Caenorhabditis elegans: one gene and its partners. The protein of the gene in region 1 interacts with the protein of each later gene in a pairwise test. Each region holds a gene or a part of one and is shown in the gene's direction. Other genes may lie near its edges.

Region 1 (6,676 bases):
CATGAATCCATTGAGCAATCTGTTCAGGTGGTGTCAATAAGGCAATTAAACAATTTGAGCTGAGTTATTCAGAAAATAGTGTAGAAAACAGAATAATACTATTTGTCAATAAATGTTAAGTTTTTGGAGAATCTTACATCAGAAAACATTTTTGTAATCAATTTTATCTGTTTGTTGAATAACTTTTTTTTGCATTAAAAAAAAATCACAAATTTTAATGAGCAGATCCAATTCAAAAAATTGTGACGTATGGCTTGTAGTTATAGAATTTCGTTTAGGATGAGACATTCGATGGGACTGAAAGTGAAATTTCAAATATTGGTGGCACCTCACCAGCATACCCTGTAGCCTATAGAAATAGGCCACCAAAACCAAAGAGAATGGCAATTCTAGAAGAAGCACAAGTTGAAGAGTATACACCGGAACCTTCTCCTGCTCCAAGAAGAACAGTTAAGAATCCAGTTCATCAATCAGATGCAAGTCTTGCATCCAAGTTTAATTCATTGTCAAGATTTGAAGAATCTGCTTTTTGATTCTAGTTATTTTTATGTTATTAGACATGGTGTCAGAATGTCCCATGTGAAGATCTACGAGAACGGCAGGAATTTAGGCGCAGCCTTTTCAACTAATTTCTCATAGTTAAGAACGTGCTGACGTCACATTTTTTAGGAAAAATCCCGCATTTTCTGTAGATCAAAGCGTAACGGGGGATCCTGACACCACGTGTTATTATTAAACTCTAATACTTGTTTGATTTGAACTGTTGAACTGACGACTTGAGCATTGTATTTAGCATGCTATAGAACTGATGTCACATGATTTTTGTTTTTTATGGAACGAGGGAGCAAACAAATGAATAAAATAAATTTCGAGGTTATCTTTTTCTGTATGTTGCAAAATGTTTTTTTACAAAACGAAATTTCTGTTTTTTCACATGTTCGCAAGAAACTTTCAGCTATTTCGAACGTTAAACTGATGTGCGATTTTTATCGATTTTTAATAGTTTTTCTCACGATTTGCTAAAAATTTTATAACAATGAAACAACATTTCTTTAAGCACAAGCCTTGAGAAAAACTATGAAAAACCGATAAATATTCCGCAACAACGGAGGTTTGAGACTACAGTACTCTTTTTTAAAGACGCGCACCATTTTGCAATAGTTAACAATATCGTTGCGAGACCTGCCGTTTTATTTAATCGATACTTTCTTCTTTGTTTTTTTGTTTATGAGTTTTCTCTTTTTCTGAACAGATCGCTTGAGATTTTTCGTTAAATTTTTTATTTGTTGATAATTAATAAATAAATTTCAAAAATTCGATAATCTTCATTTTAATTTTTAAGAATTAATTGTCATCTGTCAGTTAATCAAGATTTCGCGCGGAAAATTCCGTTTGAAATATGGCCGCTGGACTAGTATTTGTACGACCCTCTGCGCATTTTTGCTCTATAGTTAATTTACCGTAGTTTGATTCGCAGCGCATCCCAGACCACCTGTATTTTTAATATTGGCTATGAAAGAGCAAAATATGAGCAGATGAATGTGCAGAAAAATTTATAAAGTTTCCAAAAATATATTTGAATCAGAAGAAGTGTTTCTATAAGCTCAATAAAATTGATTAAACGAGAATTCATTTAATTCAAATTGTTGCCAGTGTTTATTATTATTTCGACAGAAAACTAATCTCGAAAAATATTTTACTTCTTCAATCATTTATTTTCTCATGATATTTTGCGCTCGGTGCCGCTTTTTTCTTCTTTAACGCTTGTCAATTTGTGATATCGATTTTTAAGTGTTTCAGAATGCAGATTATCTGAGCACAAGCCAGGACACCGATCGCAGCAGCATTGCGATTTTTTTCCAGCTCTGGGAGATTTTTTGAATAAAATGGAGCCGCATCTCAAGGTAATTTATTTGTTGTAAAACATTTTGCAGCAGGTTCGCTGCAAATAATTACCTCGCACACACATGCCGGTCTTCATATCGATTAATTTGACGAGTATTCGCTCGACGGGCGGTGTGATTCTATTCATTCAAAATCTTTTCGCTTGTTTCCTTATCTGCGCCTCTTTAAATTTGTGGAGTATTTTTGCTGTTGCTATGAACCAACTATCATCAAAAGGCTATCTCTTCCTATATGCAGTATTATATATGAAAATATAAACTCTTTTTGTAGATACTTTTGATTTTAAATTATACGAATGGAATCTCAGGTAAAAAAGAAAACTTGATTATTAATTTGAAATTTCAAAAAAAAAACTCGTATAAGTATATCAAACAAAGAAATAAACTCAAAATACTTTTCAGATCGATGTCAGCTCCGCCAGCGGTTCGACGACCACTGGTGCAACAGCTTCAACATCAGAAGCACCTCAAGACTCACAGGCACAGCAGACAATGCCTCCACCATCTTCTGATTGGAGTAATCAATTCAATTCTCCAGAAGCCGTGAGTCCGAAAGCCAATGGTATCAAATGCTTCAGTCCTTACTCACAGGAAGATATGGGACCATTTGTCGAACAACTTCTACCTTTTGTCAGAGCAAGTGCCTATAATTGGTTTCATCTGCAGGTAGGAATTATTGAATATAATTTTTAATTTTTCAATTTCATTCCCCTGTTTTCAGGCAGCAAAACGACGGCACTTCAAAGAATTTGATAAGAAGATGTGTGCGAGTGAAGAAAACGCGAAATTAGCAGAATTACAAGTAAAATACGAATAAATATGAACAAAAATCATAAAGAAAATTGTTTGCATTTCAGAATGATAGAGATGAATTAAAAGTGAAATGGGCTTCCAGACTTTTGGGAAAAATAAAAAAAGATATTCAAAATGACGATAAAGAAGCGTTTATTTCGGCTGTAAGTATTTCAATATTTATAATTGATTTAATATAAGGCGAAACCAATTTTTTAGATCAATGGAAGTGAGCCGAACAAGTGTATTATATCAGTTGCTGATCAGAAAGGGAAAATGCGGCGAATTGATTGCTTACGCCAAGCTGACAAAGTTTGGAGGCTTGATCTGGTTACTATTATTTTATTTAAAGTGAGTTTTTAAAAATCCTATTGCCTAATACTTCAAATAAATTTAATATTTTTCAGGGAATTCCTCTCGAGAGCACCGACGGCGAGCGTCTCGAACGATCCGAGGCATGTGTCCACCCTCTGTGCATAAATCCTTTTCATATGGCGATTAGTGTTCGCGGTCTTGACGTTTTTATGGCAAACTATCTGAAAGACGTTGACACTAAAATTACATTGACCTATCCGAGAAATGATGAACTTTCTGATACAGTGATGGTAAAGCAAGAGCCCGGTGAACAGACAATTGTAGCTCCTCATGCAGTTCTTGGCACAAGTTCTACTCATACTCGTGTCTGGGAAACGAATTCCGAACGAAATGCGGAAACAATCATTATCACTTATGATCCACAGAAAGCTTGCCATACTTATTTTGGTAAGATTAAATTATTCTAAAACTCTCTATAAGCAATGAATAAATTGAAAGCTATTGAGAATTCACCATGACATTCTGTCAGCGAAAAAATCCAATTTTATTCAAAATAAAAATATATCCATTTTGCGACGCAGATAAATCGTTTTGATTAATTTATAAATATGTTAAATTGTCAAGGGCTTTAAAATTTTGTGAAACTGTTCAAACGCGATTTTTGTGCCAAAATTTCAAACTCTCGTTGCTTAGAAATTCCCTCTCCCTCTATTTTTCATAGATTTATATTCAATTTCAATCGAAATTCCCCAGAAACAAGAGTTTGAAATTACAGTACTCCTTGAGCACACCTTTTTGCATATTATTGGCTCGAAATTGCAAATTTCCAATAAGAATTCCAAACTTTAAAATAAATTTTCAGGTGGTCGTGCTACTCTTGCCCAACAGTCTCTTTCTGCGGGAAACACGTATATGGTTAACAAAACCGCAGTCGACAACAACTTTTTCAATGCAAAAAGATCTGTTCTATGTCTACCACCTCCTCCGATTCAAAATTGTTTTCCTTATCCCATCGCGGGAACATCTGATTCTCAACAAATGGATATGTCGGAGGATTCCAACGATGGACCTTCAGAGAAACGAAGTCGGGATATATCATCGCATGATTCTCCTAATTCCAGGTAGAACTTGAAAAAATAATTAATATAAATATTTACACAGTTATTTCAGCACTAACGACGAAGTTCGGCGGATAGTGGAAAGTGGAACGGAAAAATTGGTACTCGGAAGCTCCATATGGGCAGCACCAGGCCAATTCTCTCGTACACAACAAAATCAAGGAGCTCCCGGAACGAGTCGGCAAGTGAGACCGCTTCCCGATTTTCAAAGTCAAGATTCTGCGAGGAGTCCGGGTGCATTCCGTTCAACAGCAAAACCCGTTTGTCGAATGACAGTGAATACTGGAAATCATGGCGATGTTGGAGTCGTTGTTGTTGATGAAAGAAATCGGGAGCATGTGATTCATGGTAAGCACGATAATTTTAATGAATAAAATCATATTAATTCAGCTCAACATATAGTGAATGCATTGAGCTCACTTCGAACGACACCATCGATGCGAGAAAGTCCAGTTGGCAGAAAAAGAATGCATCCGCATACGAGCAATTCATTTGAATTTTTGAATTGCAATCAGGAAATGAATAAAAGTTAGTTGTTTTTGTATACGTGACCCTCATTCTCGCGAAAATTACTAATATTTTTCAAACACGAAACTTTTTTATATTAAAAAGCTAAAAAAATATGGTACCCGGTCTATGGAAAATCTACGAAACAAACGTTCGAAATTACAGTACACTTTAAAGGCGCAAACATTTGTGTATTCCATAAATATTTGTCGTGATGAGACCTGGTATCGTAGTTTTGGAAGAATATATGTTTAGTAAAAGTTGAATTTATTTTTTTTGTTTCAGATGAAGGAGCTTTAGGAAGCGATATTTCACCGACTCACACTGCTGTTTCTAATCTAATCAGCAGAGAAAGTAGTGGATACATGGCAAGCCCAACAAAATTCACAACAGCACGCGGAGATACAACAAGCTTCAGGTTTGGCATCGTATCCCGATCATCGTTAAACAATTTTTTCTTTTCAGCAAAATTTTCCAAAAGATCGAAGAGAAACATCTGCAACATAATCAACCGAGCACGAGCTACTGTAATTCACAAATCCAACCACCAATCTTATCATCGAAACCAGTTGATTCATCAGTGAAATTAATTGCTCCAGTTGCAGTGAAACCAATTATGTCAGGATGTAATTCAATCATTCCATCACCCATCACAACTCCTCGTATAACTCCTTCATTTCGAATGCTTGAAGATGATTCATTGATTAATGTACTTGGACAACTTGCACACAGTAATGACGGAACAACTTTAAGTATGATTTTATGAACATTGAACTATCATCCCATTGCTTTTTTTTACAGACGATAGCTTCATTCAACATCTTATTGATACCAATTCTCGATCTCCATTGCTTAGTAGTGGAAATGCTTTTTCGGCATTATCAATGGGAGCTGTGAGTGGATTAGTTCCTGGTAATTCGATTCATCGTCCGGATAGTTCTGCAAGCAAGTAAGTTGAACCATATTGTTTTTTTTCTGAAAATAATGTATCAAAATAAAATGTAATTTTAAAAAAATCTTTCCAGAAATATATACTTTTTTTTAAATTGGCCAAAAGCTTGAAAATTTTATTAATTTCAAATTTCAATCTAAAATCAATGTCTTGTCTAACCAAAAAAAGTTTCTTCAGCGGATCGAATTCGTTGGGTGTAGCAATGGGATTGGCCGTTCCTCAAAATATTGCACTGGCCGTCCAGCAAACTCAAAATGCAATGTCACCTCTTCATCAAGTAAGTTGATATTTTATAAACATTTATAATCAGCAGCTTTTATAATTATTCTGAAAAACACCTTACGAAAATAATTAATCGAAAGATGTAAGCTTTTAATTGTGTAATTCATCGCCAGATTCGTGTTAGCGTTGGAGCTCCACCAGCATGCTCCCCGTCATCATCAAATTCATCTCTAGGAGCTGCAAATCAAGCACCGGTCTCAAATACTCCACAAGATCCGAATGCTCCAAAGCTGCCAACTGACTTTTCACATGCTCTTCGTAATGAGAAAAAATGATTTTGATATTCCTGTTAATCTTTTTATTCGTTTTATTTATCCCTTTCGTGTTACCAATTGAAAAATTAGAGTTATCAAACCTAGTCCTTCTTTAGTATTATTCAAACTAGTTGTTATTTTTATTATTTTCATTTTTCTTCAATCTTCAAAACATTTTCTCCGTCTGTGACGTCATAATCTATTTTTCCGAACCTCTTTTGAAAACCAAAATCCACAAAAAAATCAATTGTTTACGGGGCCACACATTTTCCCTTTTCTTTTCTTCACCGTCACCTCTTTATCTTGTAAATCTGAAAAACTTTGAAAAAACGTCGTAGCTATGCACAATTGTAATCACCACTTCCAGTTTCCCAGTGTTTTCCTTTTATGTTTTTTTTGCGTATTTGAACCTCATGTTTGCATTTCTTGTGTGGGTAGTTCAGATTATTTAATTTTTAAAACGTATTTTAATGAATCTTGAATTTTTATCAAGTCGTGAAGCACAACATAGATTCAAAAGAAATTGGAATATCATATCATCAATAAAGAAAA
Region 2 (6,543 bases), on another chromosome or scaffold:
AATTGGAAACTTTTAAGATGAATATCTTATTAGTTGACGAATCCTGGATAGCATCTGAAATGTCTGACTATGAGATATAAGCTTTTAGGTCAAAAGCTTGCCATGCACAGTTTCAAAAAGTATGGAATTTTTGAGTTTATTTTAGGTATCTATTCTGTGTTCGTAGACTATGTAGAAGTAAAGTACGAGAAAATGCAATGTAAAATTTCAAAAGAGCCAAGATATGGGCGGAGCCTAATTTGGAAAATCAGTGCAGCATTGTCAAAGTTTATGCTATTAAATACTTAAATCAAAAACTTTGAATTTTAATTTAAAATCACCAACTTGAGTCTTGTCACGATCGAAACATTTCAACTAACGAAACAATCAAAGAGGTACGGTAGTTGAAAAATTCCGCGCGTGCCAGGACCCGATAGAAACTGTTCGATCGGTATTACGCAATGTGTGTAAAACGATTCAAAAGAACAGAAAATAATTGTATTACAGAGAACGGAAGAGATAAAAGTTGTATAGACATATGGAAACTAGAAACACGTTTGACACAGTGAATAGATTGAATGAGGCGAGCTGTAGAAGATGGAGAAGCTGTATGAATGCGATGACTTCGCACCTTTTCTGACAGATTTAAGATGAAGATAGTTGTTTTTTTTGCAAGTTAAATGAAACGAACAAGTGAAAACTTTGAATCCAAAAAGTTTCATAAAAAGATATGAAATGAAGAAAAATGTGTAGAAGTAACAAAAGTGAGTGGAAGTATTCAACGAAAAGCGATGGAAACATTTGAATGAAAGGAAGGCCTCCCGGGAAAGAGGGAGAGAAAGAGAGGCTAACCATCCGTCCGGCCTTTCGTCAAACCCGTTTCTCTCTTTCACAGTTTCCCGATCCTTGCTGGTCTCATGCTTCTTCTTCTTCTCCTCCATCTACAGCCATTTCGGTGTTGTTCGCTATTGTAAACGATGTGAGAATTTCTTCGGACTATCAGAGAGAGAGAGATAGAGAGAGAGAGAGGGAGAGAGACCAGCTATCTATAGCATTTGACCTGATAAGAAAGCCGATTCGAATCGACGGTGGAAAGGTTTGATGAACTAAGCTGCCACGGAGGGACGAAGAGATATAAATTGGAAATATTTGGAAATATCAAATGAAATATTTCGTAATTGGATGTGAAACTGTCTGTCTGTATTTAGGGATTTACAAGGAATTTTTGTTCTTCTCACTAAACAATCACTATACATAAAGTGGGGAAATAATTTGGAAAAATATGATTTTTAAGAAAAGTCGACACAAAAGTTCACAAAAAGCTTGAAAGTTCATAAAAGCAACATATTTGGTGAATAGTTCTTCAGTTTGATTTTATGTTTTTTTTTTCCAAACATTCCAAATATTTTTTTTTGTTCGTTTTTCCAGTTCTTGAACCTCGTCAGTGCCATTCACGGTGATCTAGATCATATTCTGCGGTGACAAATTGCAATAAAACAAGAAGTTTATTCCCCATTAAATAAACTTCTTTTGTAAAAACCTGAAAATCTGTCTGAAAATAGCTTTTTTAAATATTTTCGTGGTCTAGATTTTTCGTGGTCTACATTTTTTATAACGGTCTCCCTCTCTCGTTCAAACTGCCGCCAACAAAAGAGCGCAATAGAGCATGCTTGCACAGCCGTGGTGAGAGACACCTCTTGTTTAATTGAATGCGCCTTTAAACTGTAATCCAATTTGTGACTCATTTCCCCTTCAATTTTCTCTCCAATTTTCAGCAAAATGGCTTACAAAGATGCCAGACAGGTGAAAATTGCTGAAAAACTTGTGATACTGAATGATCGTGCTGCTGGAATGATGACACGGATATACAATATTAAGAAATCAAGCGGCGGTGAGTAGTCTTTGAAAATTTCTGTTGTTATAAAATGCTGAAGATTTCAGATTCAAAAGTGAAACCACAATTTCTTAGCGACAAGAAGATGGAAGGTGCAATCAAACATATAGTTAGAAAGTTTCCTGTTGTTGATTGCAGATCGAATTCAGTGAGTAGTTCAAATTGTTGATTTCTCATGCCGAAATTAATTTCAGTCGACGTTCGAATATGTACAAGAAAAGTCCACGGAAATTACAAAATCTTTATCGCTATATTACTACACATTTGCTGATATTCTTGATTTAAAAGATCACATTATGCAAGTTTTGACAACTATGGAATCATGTCAATGTCAGCTGGATGTGGTGAGTATATTATTGATTTTAAATATTTATATCGTTCGTATAATGTTTAAGCTAAAATTTTATTTTTTAGACGCTCAATTACGACCTGACAACGAGTTATTTGAATCTTGTTGTACATCTCGTCACAATGATGATTCTTTTATCAAGAATTGAAGACCGGAAAGCTGTTCTTGGACTTTTTAATGCGGCATATGATCTACAACACGGACAAAGTGAAGCATCATTTCCAAGATTAGGACAAATGATTCTTGATTATGAAAATCCGTTAAAAAAGCTTCATGAAGATCTCGGACCACTGAACAGGCTAATTTATTCAGCTCTTTCTTCTGTTACACACACATATCAGCGCAGAAACAAGACAGCAGATTCATGGAGAACATCAAATGTTTTCTCGTTGACCGCTGCTCCAGCACAAATTTTATATGCTGCTCAAACAGAAACTGTGAGCAAGTTTTTATTTAATGGAAAATTATTTATGTAAATCGTTTCAGATTGCATGCGAATATCTATCACTCGACGTCATTGATCGATGGATTGTGTGTAAGTTAATATACAAATTAGTATTAAAATGTTTATTAAAATTGTAATATTTTCAGTCTGCGGAACAGTATGCCATTCAACTCTTCTTAACGATGACAACATTAGGCACATGTGGCAGCTGGCACTTCAAATGAATCTGTGTCTTCGCGTTTTCCGAGACGAAACATTTATTGTTCATCAAGAGATTCAAGCGTTTTTAGAATCTTCCAAAGAAAAAAGCAAACGGTTACAAGATGTTAAAGATGCGTTCAATCATGCATCTGTTACTGCGTAAGTTAAAAAATATGATAAACAAAGCGTTTTCTAATAATTTGTATTTCAGAGTTGCCGTCCACGCAGACCGTCGCCGCTTCCTTAGAAGTTCTCTTCGAGAGCTGTCACTTTTACTACGAGATCAGCCCGGACTACTTGGCCCGAAAATTCTCTATGTCTGGATGGCTCTTGGAGCAGGAAGAGATGAGGTCATATGGCTTCTACGGCATCAAGTTGAAGTTCCTGCTATCAGCAAAAAAGGCAGCAGAATGGTCGAGGAGCTTGTTGACAGGCAACTTCCAGAACTGCTATTTTATATGCTGGAATTAAGAGATCTCGTTACGAAATATTATGCAGTGATTCAAAGATACTATCTACAGGTTTTGTTAAAACTTTAAATTTATCTATTTTAAATCTTTTTTATTTTCAGTACGTGTCTAGCTATGATTCAATTGTTGTTTCTGAAGAGATTAACCAAGCAAATGGCCTCACCCAGGAAGAAGCGGTTCTTTTGACCGATTTTGCCAACGAAATAGGAAATATCAACTCTGATACGGATCTTCGTGCTCTTCGACTAGACTGGTTTAGATTTCAAGCTTGGACATCTGCTGCTCGGAGCCATTTCCAACTTTCAAGACATAAAAAACTCGCAATATACATGAATACTTCAGTTTTTCATCTGAAAATGATCGATTTGCAAGACGAGATGCTAAGGGAAACAAGTGATTTATCATTATACTGCTTCTATCCAAAACTCGCTGAAAAACATTGGCTCAACTGTCTCCAGCTACCTGCTCAAGCTCGATATGTGCTCAGTTTTGCACGTCTTGCCGCGCATTTCACAAGCGCCCTCCATGACATGTGTCCTGAAGAAAAAGCATTTATCACTGAAAAAGCCTTGGCTCAATGCAATTCTGTAATTGAAGAGACGTGCAAACAATTGTCATATATCCTGGAAAAAGTGGCTGAACATGAATTCGGATTAGCTTATCAAATGACACCGAGCGCCGTGGCTGTAAGAGTTGTTGCTCAAGTTGTTCAACAGAAAGGATCTGGAAAAGCTGCAGCGGCGGCCGCAGCAGCCGCTCGAGATTATTTCATTGCTGGAGAAGAAAGTTATCGAGTTGATCGTCAAGCATTAACAATGCCTGATAAGTTGCAAACAACTCTTCGTAAGTTTTAAAACGTTTTTTAAATTAGATTTTATATCACAAATTTCCCACTTTTCAGTTGAAATCTCTGCAGCTCTCGGAGCTCATCGTCAAATTTACGTTGCTGATCACACATTTGCACCGAGGACGTACCTAGCGCAGTCCCTTGAAACTAAATTTGTAGAATTGCTTCATGGAATGTTCTGGGAAGGTCAACCACATGCAAGTAATCCAAAAAGACCAAGTGAAATGCTCCTTGCGCTACAAGCCTACATGACGGTTCTTCAAAATCTTGATACAGCAAGTAAGTGGTTTTTAAAATAATCTATAAATATTCTCATAAATGGAATTTCAGTTTCTGTGGATATCAGTAATACAATGCAAACAACTCTTCTACAACAAACTCAACTCGTTGATTCCAAGAATAAAGACACAATCGCAGCACTCTACACGAAATGGTATCTCGAAGTTTTGCTCCGTCGTGCTTCATCTGGTCATATGGTTTGGAGTGAGCATCTACGAACAATGTTATCATCAGGACAGGAACAACTCTCGTTCATGCCCGATCATTATTCAGATCCTCAAGAATTGAGAGCATTGGTTCAAATTATCGGACCTTATGGAGTAAAGTTGATGACTGAACGGCTGATTTGGCACGTGGCCAGTCAAATTATGGAGATGAGCAAGATTGTTGCAACATACAAAGATGCTCTACAGATTGCTAGATCTAATTTCGATAATGCTGAAAAGATGAAGGATGTTTTAAATCTTTTGAGCGTCGAACCAAAGGACAAGAAAACTCCGAACGCAACATGCGCAGCTGATGCAATTCTGCAAAGAACTATTATTATCGGACAGATTTGTCTGTTTCGTGATGCTCTCCACGATGCTCTTCGTCATATCGTCGAATCTAAATTGCCATTTCTTCAAGCATCATTTGATATGCTTTATCACAATTTGGACGATGTTGATAAAGTTAAAATTGGAGAAATGTCAGCTGCGATGGGAGTCACAGGACCAGTTGATATGTCGTTGGTGAATGCGGTTCGTGCTCAAAATCCGAATATTCACCCTCAAGAACACTATGTTAATAGTTGTCTATTGATGGTTGCCGTCGCTATCTGTATTCCACGAATTGGAATGTCGGATCTTTCGTCTTACAAGCCTAGCATTCAAGGTACATACTTTTACAGCTTTTTGCAAAAATTAAAAATAAACAATTTCAGCCAGCTTGAACAATAGTCACTGTGTTCCAATGGCGATTAACACTATCGGATCAGCTCTTTTCCATCTCCACGAGCAAAATGATATCCAGTCGAGGATGAAGGAGTTCTTGGCGGTTAGCTCTATCATTATTAACACATATTCTCACCTAGAAAAATTTTCAGCTCGCGTCCTCGGGTATTCTACGAACTATTCATGAACGTGATAACAGTCGACAAATATCCGACGACGTTCTTCGTTCCCACACAACTCTCTACATTATCCTTGAACAGATGGTTCGGAAAAACCGTTGGCTGTCGATGGATGTTCTTGAAACCTGTTTCCCATATAATCTCGTCCGTACAGCCTACCAACAATGCTACGAGGCTGATGCTCAATAATTTTATCTGCGATCCCAATATGTACAGCTACGATCCCTTCTCACATACTTCCTGTGCCTGTATTTTATTTATTTTATTTTTCTTTCTTCAACGAACCATTACTATACGGGTTCCCGCTTCCGAATACCGCCTTTTTGACTATTATTCCCTGCATTTTCGTGTGAATCATTGCTCCCAAGTACTCATTTTGCCTTCCATTTGGCTTTAATTTATTGCAGTTTGTCGTCATAATAAACTTTTTATCAATTTATCAAAAATTTTTATTTTATCTATTACATAAATGCGATTAAATTTTAAGTTAAAAAAACGAGAATTAGCTAAATTAGATATGCTTGGTAATTTGAATTTGAATTCGCGCGTAAAAGTGATGGATGGGTCTCGCCACGACCGGCATGCAATTTTGAATTTTTTCACATTTTGAGGTCCAATGAGGTCGAAATTTTTAGACATTTTTAGTAAAAAAAAATTATTTATGTTTTTGCAGTCTCTTCAGTATGTTTCCTGAATTGCAGACACTCCAGTGGCCGATCATAAAGTATAAGCAATTGAGAGGAAGCGGTAATCGACAAGAGGTTTTAAAAATAGATGAATTCTGTATCGAAAAGTTAAATTTGCAGGGCAAAGATATTCGCGTTGTTATGGAGGTGAATAGCAGGAAGCTGACGGTTATTCATGGAGTCGAGCCGATCGAGACCGTTTATTGTAACATGGAAGTTTCTAGGTATCCGAGTTTGAAGTGAGTCTTTGTTGTTTGAGAAATTAAAGTCAAATTGCCCGGT
Region 3 (7,862 bases), 6.3 Mb from region 1:
GTCTCGTAGTCCGTGAATTTTGAATTGATTTTTTGCACAGATTTTGGGTAATTTCGCTGAAAAATGTGTATTTTATGGGTTTTTGGGCAGTTTTTTCCATAATTTTTCACTATTTTTAGGTAAAAATTCGGAATTTCTGATTTTCAGCCAGTTTTTTTTTCATTATTTTCTCCGATTTTCTAATAAAAAAGCGAATTTTTCGCTGAAAAATGCGAATTTTAGTCCAATTTTCTGATAAAAATCCGAAAATTCGCAGATTTTTCGGGTAATTTCGCCCTAAAACTTAAGTTTTTCATAATTTTCCCCGATTTTCTGATAAAACTCCGAATTTTTTCCCTTAAAAAAGTGGATTTTCGTATTTTTAGGCAGTTTTTTTCATAATTTTTTGAAAAAAAGAGGAATTTCTCGTATTTTGGCTAAAAAAATGACGAATTTTTTTTGATTTTCCTGAAATTTCATTGATTTTTTTTGAATTTCTCGTCGGATTTTCCACAGGTTTTTTAAATTTTTTAAAGGATTTTTCAGTTGATTTTCTGAGATTTTTTCACTAAATTGAGAATTTTCGTTCGATTTCCTGGAAATTTTTTTGACATTTTTCAAATTATTTACTGATTTTCTTGCCTCTTATTACGGGTTTTCACCGATTTTTAGCGAAAAAATCTACCGATTTTATCGATTTCGTATCTCTCGGATTTTCTTGAATTTTTGCAGCGATTTTTAGTATTTTCGGTGAAAAAAATGTGGATTTTCTAAATTTTGCGATTTTTTTTTAATTTTCGGATTTTTAGGCTGTTTTTTTTTGTTTTTTTTTTCTAATTAATTTATCCAATTTTCAGCTGGAACTCGATCGTTATGTGCCTCCGCGTGCTCGTACCGATGGCTCTCCTCGCCTGGTACTTTACCAACGAACATCCGAACGCGCTCCGTTGGAAGAATCCGGCAATGCCGAAGCAGTATTCATACGATTTCTACCGTGCCTACCCGTTCGACGATCCACGCAAATACCCAATTGTCAACTATTCGTTTGATTTGGAATAGAAAATTCCTTAGTTTCGGTTGTTTTTTTTTTGGTAGTTTTCTCCGTTTTCTCCTTTTTTGTACTATAAAATATTCGAATTTTATCATTTTTTTTTTTGCCTTTTTTTTGCCCTTTTTTCAGCGTTTTTAACGCTTTTATACCTATTAATTCGTTTTTTTTGTTGCTTAAAATTGCGCCTAATTGAAAAAAAAATTCCTAAATTTTATATGATTTTTTGAAAATTGAAAAAGTCTCAGTTTTCACCCCTAATTCCTATTTGAATTACCGCTAATTGGATTTGTTCGATGGAGCGCGCTTGCACGTTTTTAAGTTTATTTATTTTATTTTTTGTTATTTTCCACCGATTTTCAATTTTTTTTAGTTTTCGGTGTATTTTTACATGAATTTTAGAGAAAAAGTCAAAATAAATGCTAAATTTCGATTAAAAAGCACGCTTACAGGCGTAAAAATGACAAAATTAATTAATTTCACTGATTTCGGTCTGTACGCATGGTTTTTATTCGAAAATTTGCATTTATTTCGACTTTTTCTCTAAAATTCAAGCAAAAATACACCGAAAACATTAAAAATCGGTGGAAAATAACAAAAAATAAATAAATTTAGAAACGTGCAAGCGCGGCGCTCCAACGAACGAGTTCAATTGGCGGAAATTCAAATAGGAATTAGGGGTAAAAACTGAGATTTTTTCAATTTTCAAAAAATCATATAAAATTTAGAAATTTTTTTTTGAATTTGGCGTGTTTTAAAGCAATTTTCCCACTGGCGCTACGCTACTCCACTTTTAATTAATTAATTATTTGGAAAAAAAATTCAGAACTCGGCGCTGGACGCCCCCGCACAAAATGCTCTTCCTCGATGATTTTTTAGAAAGTAAGTGGTTTTTTTTGTTGCAAACTTTTCCCCTATAAAAACACCCAAATTTTCAACGTTTTCCAGTGCTCGATGAGCTGCCTGCCGAGCTGAAGGAGAGAAGCGATGAAATTCGGCGAATCGACAATGAAGTTGAATGTAAAATTTCGAAATTTTTCTGAATTTTTCCCTTCATTTTTTCGAATTTTTAGCCCGTCTAAACCGTAATCGAGAGGCGATCAACGATTTTTTCGAGAGAACCGGCGTAAATATGCCCGAGGAGCAGAGAAAGGAGCGCTGCAAGGTTTTGCAGGAGGTGAATTTCATGAAAATTCCTGGAACTCGAATTTGGCAGCAAATTGACACGAAAACGCAGGAAAAAGTTGATTTTTGCCACAAAAACGGCTAAAATTCGTGAAAAATGAGAAATTTCGCTATAAAACCCGTTTTTCTAGCTTTTTCGTGAAGAAAAATGAGAAAAAATGGGATTTTTTTGTACTTTGCCTGATGTCATTTTTTCACTTTTTAAGCTTTTTTTTCCCACAAAACACCAAAAGTGCTCAAAAATACTCAAAGTGAATGACGTCTAAAAACACTAAAATGAGGTCGAAAAACTCAAAAAGTTGCTCAAGATCCGACCAAGTTGTAACCTTTTCGGAAAAAAACCTAAAATTAGAATTTTGTCGTTTTTGATCGTTTTTTGAAGCTTTTTCTTCACAAAAATAGCTTAAAAACGCAAAAATTAGCCCAAAACGCTTATAAATCTCAAAATGCATCCAATTTTTCAAAATTTTCCGCTAAAAATAAAGGAAATACCGAAATTTTCAAAAAATGAGCATTTTTCCGCGAAAAAATCCCAAAATTCCGCTAATTTTTCAGAATTTCTCGGAAAAAAACGGTCGAAAAAATTCCTTTTTTCACTGAAAATCTTTTTTAAAAAACAGGACAAAAAATCGCAAAATTCAGACAATTTTTCGGAATTTCTTGTTAAAAAGTGAAAAAAAAGCTGAAAATTTAGCTTTTTTCACGAAAAAAAATTGAAAATTCAACTAATTTTTGGGAAAAAACATTTACATTTGCATTTTCTAATTTTTTTTTCGTGGTTTTCTAAAAAAAACTTTCAAAATCTCAAAATACAACCAATTTTGCCGAAATTCTTGGAAAAAAACCCTAAATTTGCATTTTCTATTAATTTTAAAAGCTTTCTCCCCCAAAACTACCTTATAATCCCAAAAAATCAGCCAATTTTTCTAATTTCTCTTTAAAAAAAAAGCTGAAAAATTAGCTTTTAAAAAAAAAAAAAGCTTAAAAATCCCAAAATGCCAATTTTCCAGATTTTCTCGCGTTGAAAGTGAAGGAAATGCCGAAATTATAAAAAAAAATTAGCTGTTTTCACAACAAAAAAAAAGTCGAAACCCCCGAAAAATCATAAAATCAACCAATTTTTCAGAATTTCTCTTTAAAAAGTAAAAAAAAGCTCAAAAATTTGCTTTTTTTTTTCAATAAAAATTTTAGAATTCAACCATTTTTTCAAAATTTCTCGTTAAAACGTTGAATAAGCTCAAAAAAAAGTTTTTATCACAAAAATAGCTGAAAAATGGCAAAATTTCTCTTAAAAAATGAAAAAAAAAGTTCAAAAATTTGCTTTTTCACAAAAAAAAAATTGAAAAAACCCAAAAAATTGCAACCAATTTTCTTCAGGAATTCTCCACAATCCGCGTGCTAGCTCAACGCAAATATCTAATCGCCGAAAAAATGCAAGAACTCCTCAAAAAGTACAAAGTTCACTTGGAAAAGGAGAAAACCACGTTCCAGTGTGAAATGGAGGCCGACAATTCAGGAGTGACCGAAATGATCGAAAAACGATATACCCAACACGTCGAATCTCTGCTCACAGCGAGAAAAGAACGAAAACGTCGTCATCGCGTGGGCGGTGGTGGTGGTGGTGGAGGATCGTCGTCGAGAGCATCGACAGTCGCTTCGGGACCACTTTTATCGAAAGAATCAAAGGACAAAATTCAGCGGATCCTTCAGGAAGGTGTTCGTCTTCGAATGGATCTTTCCGATGAGTCGGCACAATCGGCACTATCATCGGCTATACCATCACCAGCGCCACGTGGGCGCCCGCCAAAGATCGCAAAGGATCAGCTGTTGCTGTCGTCGGCGGCGATGGTGGTGGCCAGTGATGATTGTCTGACGCCAGTGCCACCAACACCGACGGCTAGGGTGAGGAGCTAGCTGAAAATTCGAGAAAATTCGCAAAATTTGGAGCCCACCTACCACGGCCTCCTGTTCAAAGAACTGGCGAAATTTCGAATTTTAGCTAAATTTTGAATTTTCAAATAATATTTTTCAAACATTTTTGAATTTCAGCCTAAAATCCGCAAAATTTGATCGTACAAAAACCTCACAAAATTGATAAAATTTTCCCGTTTTTTGGGTGTTGTTACAAGAAAAATTTGACGAAATTTCGAGTTTTAGCGTAATTCGTCTCTTTTCAACTATTTTTTTAGCCTAACCGCCACATTTTTTAATAAAATTTACGAAAATTGGCCGTTTTTGGGTCATTTTGGACCGTTTTCAGCTAAAAATTAACTTTTTGTTTCGAATTTTCAAAATTAAACGAAATTTGGCTCTTTACTGACTAATTTTTAAGCCAAACCGCCATGATTTTCTGGAAAATCAGCCTATTTACAGGAGGACTAACGGTTTATTGACCCAAATTTTGTGCTCAAATGAACGAATTTCGTAATGAAACTGCTCGAAAATGTATTTATGGCGGTTCAAAATTTCGAAAATGACACTGATTTTAGCTAAAATCTCGAATTTTGGTCATTTTTCCGTGTCACAGCTGTAGGAAGTTGGTTTTTTTTGGAATTATCATCCTTCATTGCATATTTTGGTAGTTTATCTCATTTAATTTCATTGATTATGGTAAATTTAAAGCCAATAGGTAACCAAAAATCATTAAAATTGGTCGCCTATAGGCTTTAAACAGACCTTAATAAACGAAATTAAATGAGATATTAAAACCAATATATGCAATCAAGAATGATATTTCCAAAAAAAGCCAACTTCGGACAGCCGAGACACGGAAAAATGACCAAAATTCGAGATTTTAACTCAAATCAGTGTAAGTTTTCGAAATTTTGAAGCGCCATAAAACATTTTTGAAGAATTTTTGAGCAATTTCAGTATGAAATTCGTTCATTTGAGCACAAAATTTGGGTCTATACGTTCCAAATCGTCCGAACCGTTAAATAGGCTGATTTTTCAGCCTAACCGCCATTATTTTCACGAAAATCAGTCGTTTTTGGAGTGAAAAAACTAAAAATTCTCTAATTTCTCCAAATTTCAGCGCCGCTCAAACACAAATGCTCTCCGCGGCACAGTCTCCATTCCAAGTGCTCTTTCATCAATGATGAATCGTGGTGAATCGACATCCCGCTTCTCACCGAATCCCTCCGAACGTAGTTGGTCAAACGCCGGAATCGACGAATCATCACCGACGCCGACGACAAGCCTACTGATGACACCGACGTTCTCCTCAGGACCGCATATCGTCGTTTCGCCGACGACTCCAGTTCTCCAGAATTCGGCGTTTGTGGTGTCTGAGAGCCGTCATGGTAGAACTCGGAAGCTGACCAGTAGAGTTCAGGAGATGTTTAAGGAGACTCTACAGCGGCAGCGGAATCATGGAAATTCAATTATAGCACTACAGGAGAGAATGAGTGCGGCGAATCTGGCGGCGGCGGCTCAGCACGCTCACGCTCCGACGAGCTCTTCACCACAATCACCACTTCCGGAGATTGAAGGAGCCGCCGAGGATGATGATGAGGAAGGACCGAGTTATCGGATTAAGCGGAGCCATCCGATGATGGCTCCGGGATCGGAGGATGAGGAGGATGAGATGCATTGGTGTTTTTGTAATGAGAAGAGCTATGGAGATATGGTTCAGTGTGATAATCGTCATGTTAGTGTGGGCTTTTTTAATGAAGGGAAAAATTGAATTTTTCTCCGAAAATTGAGCGAAAAATTCAAATTCCCAGCAGAAATAGTGCGAAAAAAAAATTAGATTTTTTTTTGTTGTTTTTTATTACCAAAAATTGATTAAAAAATGTGAATTTTCATCAGAAATAATGCAGAAAATTACTGTTTTTTTTTCTTCGAATAGTGCGAAAAATTGAGTTTCCATCCATTCAAAAAATCAAAAAATTTGGATTTTCACACGAGAAAACAGTGCGAAAAATATATAATTTCTACCTGAAAATTGCAAAATCATGTTGCTATATTTGCGGTGAAAATTCACTTTTTTGGTTAGTCAAAGATTATCAAAGATCTTATTAAAAAAAAAAAAAAAAATTTCCATTCAAAAAATCGAAAATTGAGCGAAAAATTCAAATTTCCAGCACAAAATCAATAATTCGTAATTTTTGATGAAAATTCATATTTTTTCATGGAAAATTGTACAAAAAATTCAAATTTCCACCAAAAATTGAGTTTAAAAAGTGAAATCAGAAATAATGCACCGAAAATTAAATTTTTGTTTCAAAAATAGTACGAAAAAAGTTAATTTTTAACCGAAAATTATTTTTTTTTTAATTTGAATTTCTACCACAACAAAATGCTTAAAAATTGTTAAATAGAGTGTTTCCTTGGAAAAAATCACAAAAATGAAGTTTTCACCAAAAAATTGCGAAAAATATATAATAATTTCTACCAGAAAATGCAAAATTTTGCTTTTTTTTACATTTTTATCGAAAAATTTCACGAACATTCAGAAAAATTGAATTTTCACCAAAAAATTGGAAAAAGTTGCAATTTATATTATTTTTAGGCTAAAATCAACAAAATTTCTGCGTTTTCAACGGTTTTACCAAAAAATGTGTTACAAAAATTCGAAATAGTTGAGCGAAAAAATTAATTTCCACCTAAAAATTGCAAAACTTTGCTATATTTTTGGTGAAAATTCGATTTTTTGTTGGTATTATTATCAAAAAATTTTACAAAAAAAATAGAATTTTCATTTTAAAAAAATCCCGAAAAATTAAAATTTCATCAGAAAAATATTTTTAAAAATTGATTTTCCACAAAAACATGCTCTTGAATTACAAAAGCAACTGAAATAATACGAAAAATTTAGATTTCGAAAATTAAATTGAATTTCCACTGTAAGTATTTCAAAAATTAGAAAAATTAAATGGAAACAAACACAAAAAAACATAAAACACGAAAACATGATTTTTAAAAAATTGTTTAAAATAATTACAATGTGGAAATTTCATTTTTCGCACTGTTTTCGGTGAAAACTCAGTTTTTTTCCACAAATATTACAAATTACATCCATCCATCTGAAATTTACACCAAAAACCTTTAAAACAAAATACAGAAAGTCTGAAAATTTCAACAAAAAATTCTAATATCTAAATTTAAAAAACATTTCTACCAAAAATCTGATAAACTGAATTTTCATCGAGACCATCACCACCAAAAAACTAATTTTTGACCAAATTGAGTGCGAAAAATCGAATTTCCATCAAAAATATTATAAAACATTTTGTTTTCTTCGAAAAGTAATGCAAAAAAGTAAATTTCCGCCACACAAATATATTTAAAAAAAGTTGAATTTTCATCAAAAACTACAAAAAATAGAATTTGCCTGGAAAATTCTAATTTTTTCGAAGAAAACAAAATGTTTTATAATATTCTTGATGGAAATTCGATTTTTCGCACTCAATTTGGTCAAAAATTAGTTTTTTGGTGATGGTCTCGATGAAAATTCAGTTTATAAGATTTTTGGTTGAAATGTAAATTTTTTATAGCACTTTTGTAGCTATATGTTTTTTAAATTTAGATTAGAATTTTTTGTTGAAATTTTGGAAAAAATTATGGGAAAATGGTAGATTTGTTTGTTTGTTTTTTTTTGTTGGAAAATAAAAAAAGTAATAAAAACCACAAAAATATCAGTAAGTTT
Region 4 (4,157 bases), on another chromosome or scaffold:
CAAAGAGGGGATTTAAAGTGAAAAATAGATAAATACCTGATAATTTAGATCAAAAAATTAGAATAACGCCTTTTAAACCAAAAAACTCCTTTGAATTATCGAAAATTCTAGAAATTCTCGAGAAAAATAAATTTCAAAACAGGCATATTCTGTGCATTTGCGCGTGGGATCTAGCGCCCGTTGTGCATTGCGCCATGGCATTTGAAATTGGCGCCCGAAAATTTTTTGTTTTATATCAATTTTTTGGCTTATCGATAATTATCCTTGAAATTCTGCAGAAAAATAGATTTTTCTGTAAAATTTCGCAGGAATTGTATTCAGCACGTAATGTGCATGGTTTCCGTGGCAACTTGGGCGCTCTTTGCTTCTCTGTGCTCTATGCTCATGCCGCAACTCGAAAATTCGAATTTTAATTCTAATTGCCCTCTGTTAACCCTCTTTTTCCCGCCGGATAACCTCCAAACTATTGGTATCTTGTCGATGAATCGGTGAGAAAAAGTTCCGAACAACAAGAATTCGGGATGTTGTTCTTCCTCGCGTCTCCACCATCTCCACACACTCTCACGCGGTTGAACGGACAGTCAGGACACCGCCGCGCGGGGAAACTGCCCGTTTTGGTCGTCTCTTCTGCTGTGTGTGTCTACTATTCAAATAAACTCGCCAATCGATCGCCATTTCAGTTCATGTGCGGTGAATAATGTGTTGTGAAACTCGTTTTTCTCGGGAAATAGCCGAGAAAGGCTGAATTTTTGCTTGAGAATTTCTGGAAGGCATGAAATGTTTTCAGCTCTCTTCGAAAATCTTCTACCGCCCACCCATTTTCCTCCCGAATTGTTTCGTCCCCGTGACTCATTCTCTCTTTTATCGCCAACTTCTCACTCACTGATAATCGATTTTCGTTTTCATCCCGTCTTCTCAATTTTCCAATTTCAGCTGTGAGAAATGGACGATTTGGCTGATTGTCGTGAGGTTTTCGCCTATTTTGACAGCAAAGGCGACGAGCGAATCTCTGTTCAGCAGGTTTTTAATTCAATATTTTACTTTTTTAATCCAAAATTCATATTTCAGGTCGGTGATGTGCTCCGCGCGCTCGGCCAGAACCCAACAGAAGCCGAAATTCACAAATGTGTCGGCTCGTTCGATCGGGAAGCTCGGCTTTCATTCGAGGACTTTGTCCCAATTTTCCAGTCGGTGTCCAAGAATCGGTTCGTGGCGAATTTTCAGTTAATAAATTTCAATTTCTACATAATTTCAGTGAAAAGCACACCGTTGAGGAGTTCGTCGAGGGGTTGTCGCATTTCGACAAGGAGGGAAACGGAATGATCAATGTCGCAGAGCTCCGACACTTGCTCACCACTCTTGGTAGGATTTTGAGTGAATATTATCAAAAAATTAATATATAAGTAGCTTTTCAAAAATGTTCTGCTGGTCTATACAATTTTAAAGTTTACCCCAATTTTATCAATTTTTTTTCAAGGAGAACGCCTATCCGATGAAGACGTCGATCAATTGCTCTCCGGACACAACGATTCTCACGGAAACGTCAATATCTCGGATTTCGTACGCGCTGTCATGAACTCCTAAAAAATAATCGAATTCAGCTGATGTAAATATATCATTTCCATTAATTTCCTCGGCATTTTCCACACAATCTATTTATTTATCGACTTTTTTGCATCCGTTAATTCTATTTCTTATTCGCTCTCTCCCAGTTCACCAAAAAAAACTTGCAACGATTCAGTGAACAACTTTGTATCCTCCGTGTTTTAAGATGAATTTTTCTAAATTTTAATTCTAATTTCATAATTTTTGTATTTCGTGTTACATCTCACATGATATTTCTGTATTTCCTCTCCGTTATTTTTGTGGGGAAATCCATATAATTGCATTTTCAGAAAGAAAAATGGCAGATACAGGAGAAAAAGACACAGAAACGACGGCAAGTGGTACCGATGGACACAGTAAAGAGGCGCTTGCTGTAATAAGCATGCTCCACGAGTGTGGAATTCAAGAGTTTGATCCACGCGTCGTTTCAATGCTTATGGATGTGAGAAAATACAAAATTGAGCTCTAAAAATTCAAAAAATAATGATTTTTTCCAGGTTCAATACGCAGTGACGTCAAAAATCCTCCAAATGTCAAGTGGACTGTCCAGGCATGCTGAAAAAGCGCAAATCGAGGCAGAAGACGTTCAAACGGCGGCCGACATGCTCGGCGTTCTGACCACAAACGCTCCGGACCGTGAGAAGATTCTGCAATTGGCGAATGACAAAAATCAGCAGCCCCTACCGCAAATTCGACACAATTATGGCCTGAAGCTGCCCAACGATCGATTCTGTCAATTACAGCAGAATTTTGTGTACAAAGCTGACGACAGTTATCAGCCGTACGTTTTTTTTCTCGATATATCTTGAAAAATCTGTAAAAATTTGATTTTAAACGGAAAGAAGGTATTTTAAAGTGGAGTACGACCAGTGGGGAAACTATTAAAAACCATTCCTATGGTTCAAAAATGACAAAATAACAATAAAAACTCACAATAGAACTTTTAAAAAAATTATGATACTTTTCCTTTTTTACACCGCATTTTTAAATGAATATTCAAAACATTGAATTATTCAAATTTAATTCTCACGTGAATCATTTTCAGGCTTATGGGGTTATTCAAGTAATGTAGCAAAATGTATTTAAATACATTTGTGACGTCACAAATGTATTTAAATACATGTTTTTATATACTTGAATACAGTTGTGACGTAATTAATCTACACTTTTTAATTTTCCGACACTACTTGAATAACCCCATTAGAAAACAAAATTACAGAAAAAGTTCACATTTTTATCCAAGAAAATGTTCCAGAAAAATGCGGGGTAGAAAAGGAAAAGTACCAAATTTATAGAAGATTTTTTGTTTCAAGTAAAAAAAGGTGTTGTTTGGAGCCACCTTTCGAGAAATCGAAAACACTTTCGCATTTTCGTGCCCCCAAAATAATTAAATATGAATGCATAAGACATGGAATAAGTTTTTTTTAATCGATAACTTCCAAAAACATTTGTTAAAAACTAAGTTTTCACCGCTTTTTGAGCCGAAATATAAATTTTTTCCGAAATTTTCATTCTAAAAATTTACAGAAATTCTATATTTAAACTTGTCGATTTTCAATGCTTTTTGTGGCTACTGTCAGTTTCATTTGAAAAATATTGATTCAAATTTGCATTTTCATCTCAAAAATTGTTTTTTCGAATCAAAAATACAAAACCTTGACACAAAACTAAAAGTCACATATTTTCCGACAATATTCCATTTAGTTATTGTTTTTAAATCTTTATGGCATGCGTTTTTTTTTTCTGTAGTAAAATGAAATTATACATATCAAATTCAAAATTTTCAAGTTTTCAGAATGGAAATGCAACAAGTCACCCATCAGCCACATATCATCGAACCACCAACACAAGTGCTACGGCCGGAGCATGTACAGAATATGCTCAAGCGAAGAGCTCCAGACGATGATTTTGACTCATAACTTTTTAATTTTGTTTTTTTTATGCCATTTTCTACTTTATCTAATCAATCCTGCCAATGATCTCTATGAAACCCAGATTTTTATTTATAAAATTCAAAAATTTACACAATTACAATTCAAAAACAATTCAATTATCCCCTCCACCTGTCACCGCATTTTTCAGCTCACTCGTCGACTCGACAATTTTGTTGGCTGCCATTTTCAAATGATCGTAACGGCTAGCCTTACGCATTGGCGGAACCTGACCAGCTTCCATGTACGTTTCGGGTGCGATTTCCGGAGCATCCACGTGTTTATTGTGCTCGGCGAGCAACTGCTCAGCTCGGTCGATCTCCTGTTTCAAAAGCTCGACGCGTTCTTTGTTGGATTGCGTCTCGCTTTCGATTCGGCATTGCTCCTTGCAGAGGTCGTATTCGGAGAGCTTCAATATATCCAAGTTTTTGGCTAAAAATTCAAATCCTACCTGCTTCTGGGGCGGCACCACCTTCTGCACGTAGATAACCTTCTGTGCCCTGAAAAATCGATAAAGATGGAAAAATCAACCAATAAACTGGCTCACTTTGGTTTTTTCGACTCTCCGAGGCTACATACGGCTAGCAGAAAAACTGCGAGAAGGAATTTCATTCTGAAAAA

Evidence for each region.
Region 2: the proteins of nfi-1 (region 1) and gex-3 interact in a two-hybrid assay, tested with the Caenorhabditis elegans proteins (one large-scale study listed by BioGRID).
Region 3: the proteins of nfi-1 (region 1) and ing-3 interact in a two-hybrid assay, tested with the Caenorhabditis elegans proteins (one large-scale study listed by BioGRID).
Region 4: the proteins of nfi-1 (region 1) and taf-9 interact in a two-hybrid assay, tested with the Caenorhabditis elegans proteins (one large-scale study listed by BioGRID).

Annotation. Positions count from the first base shown.
Region 1 is NC_003280.10:7,536,394-7,543,069, forward strand, and holds nfi-1 (Nuclear factor I family protein), read left to right. Parts: upstream 1-1,886; coding exon 1,887-1,904; intron 1,905-2,306; coding exon 2,307-2,570; intron 2,571-2,625; coding exon 2,626-2,706; intron 2,707-2,761; coding exon 2,762-2,860; intron 2,861-2,915; coding exon 2,916-3,047; intron 3,048-3,103; coding exon 3,104-3,458; intron 3,459-3,623; exon of another isoform or gene 3,624-3,644; intron 3,645-3,873; coding exon 3,874-4,132; intron 4,133-4,181; coding exon 4,182-4,477; intron 4,478-4,519; coding exon 4,520-4,657; intron 4,658-4,921; coding exon 4,922-5,054; intron 5,055-5,101; coding exon 5,102-5,388; intron 5,389-5,437; coding exon 5,438-5,585; intron 5,586-5,765; coding exon 5,766-5,865; intron 5,866-5,983; coding exon 5,984-6,145; downstream 6,146-6,676. Other genes in the region: ZK1290.13 (MARVEL domain-containing protein), read left to right, coding at 1-27, 279-533. UniProt on the Caenorhabditis elegans protein: Probable transcription factor which recognizes and binds the palindromic sequence 5'-TTGGCANNNTGCCAA-3' present in promoters. Plays a role in locomotion, pharyngeal pumping, egg-laying, and life span.
Region 2 is NC_003282.8:12,402,677-12,409,219, forward strand, and holds gex-3 (Membrane-associated protein gex-3), read left to right. Parts: upstream 1-1,754; 5' UTR 1,755-1,758; coding exon 1,759-1,870; intron 1,871-1,920; coding exon 1,921-2,021; intron 2,022-2,067; coding exon 2,068-2,217; intron 2,218-2,287; coding exon 2,288-2,659; intron 2,660-2,708; coding exon 2,709-2,757; intron 2,758-2,813; coding exon 2,814-3,027; intron 3,028-3,079; coding exon 3,080-3,389; intron 3,390-3,439; coding exon 3,440-4,181; intron 4,182-4,239; coding exon 4,240-4,464; intron 4,465-4,515; coding exon 4,516-5,337; intron 5,338-5,386; coding exon 5,387-5,499; intron 5,500-5,548; coding exon 5,549-5,764; 3' UTR 5,765-6,014; downstream 6,015-6,543. Other genes in the region: dsb-1 (Double-Strand Break factor), read left to right, coding at 6,259-6,336, 6,382-6,500. UniProt on the Caenorhabditis elegans protein: Rac effector required for tissue morphogenesis, cell migrations and egg laying. May play a role in egg laying and in yolk protein clatherin-mediated endocytosis by oocytes during oogenesis.
Region 3 is NC_003280.10:13,874,181-13,882,042, forward strand, and holds the start of ing-3 (Inhibitor of growth protein), read left to right. Parts: upstream 1-1,853; 5' UTR 1,854-1,881; coding exon 1,882-1,909; intron 1,910-1,975; coding exon 1,976-2,047; intron 2,048-2,100; coding exon 2,101-2,204; intron 2,205-3,589; coding exon 3,590-4,114; intron 4,115-5,246; coding exon 5,247-5,861; intron 5,862-7,862. Other genes in the region: ndub-8 (NADH dehydrogenase [ubiquinone] 1 beta subcomplex subunit 8, mitochondrial), read left to right, coding at 837-1,038.
Region 4 is NC_003281.10:13,622,381-13,626,537, forward strand, and holds taf-9 (Transcription initiation factor TFIID subunit 9), read left to right. Parts: upstream 1-1,895; 5' UTR 1,896-1,903; coding exon 1,904-2,047; intron 2,048-2,102; coding exon 2,103-2,386; intron 2,387-3,400; coding exon 3,401-3,524; 3' UTR 3,525-3,627; downstream 3,628-4,157. Other genes in the region: mlc-5 (Myosin-2 essential light chain), read left to right, coding at 943-1,020, 1,069-1,205, 1,256-1,362, 1,478-1,584; T12D8.5 (uncharacterized protein), read right to left, coding at 3,652-3,945, 3,988-4,036, 4,084-4,148.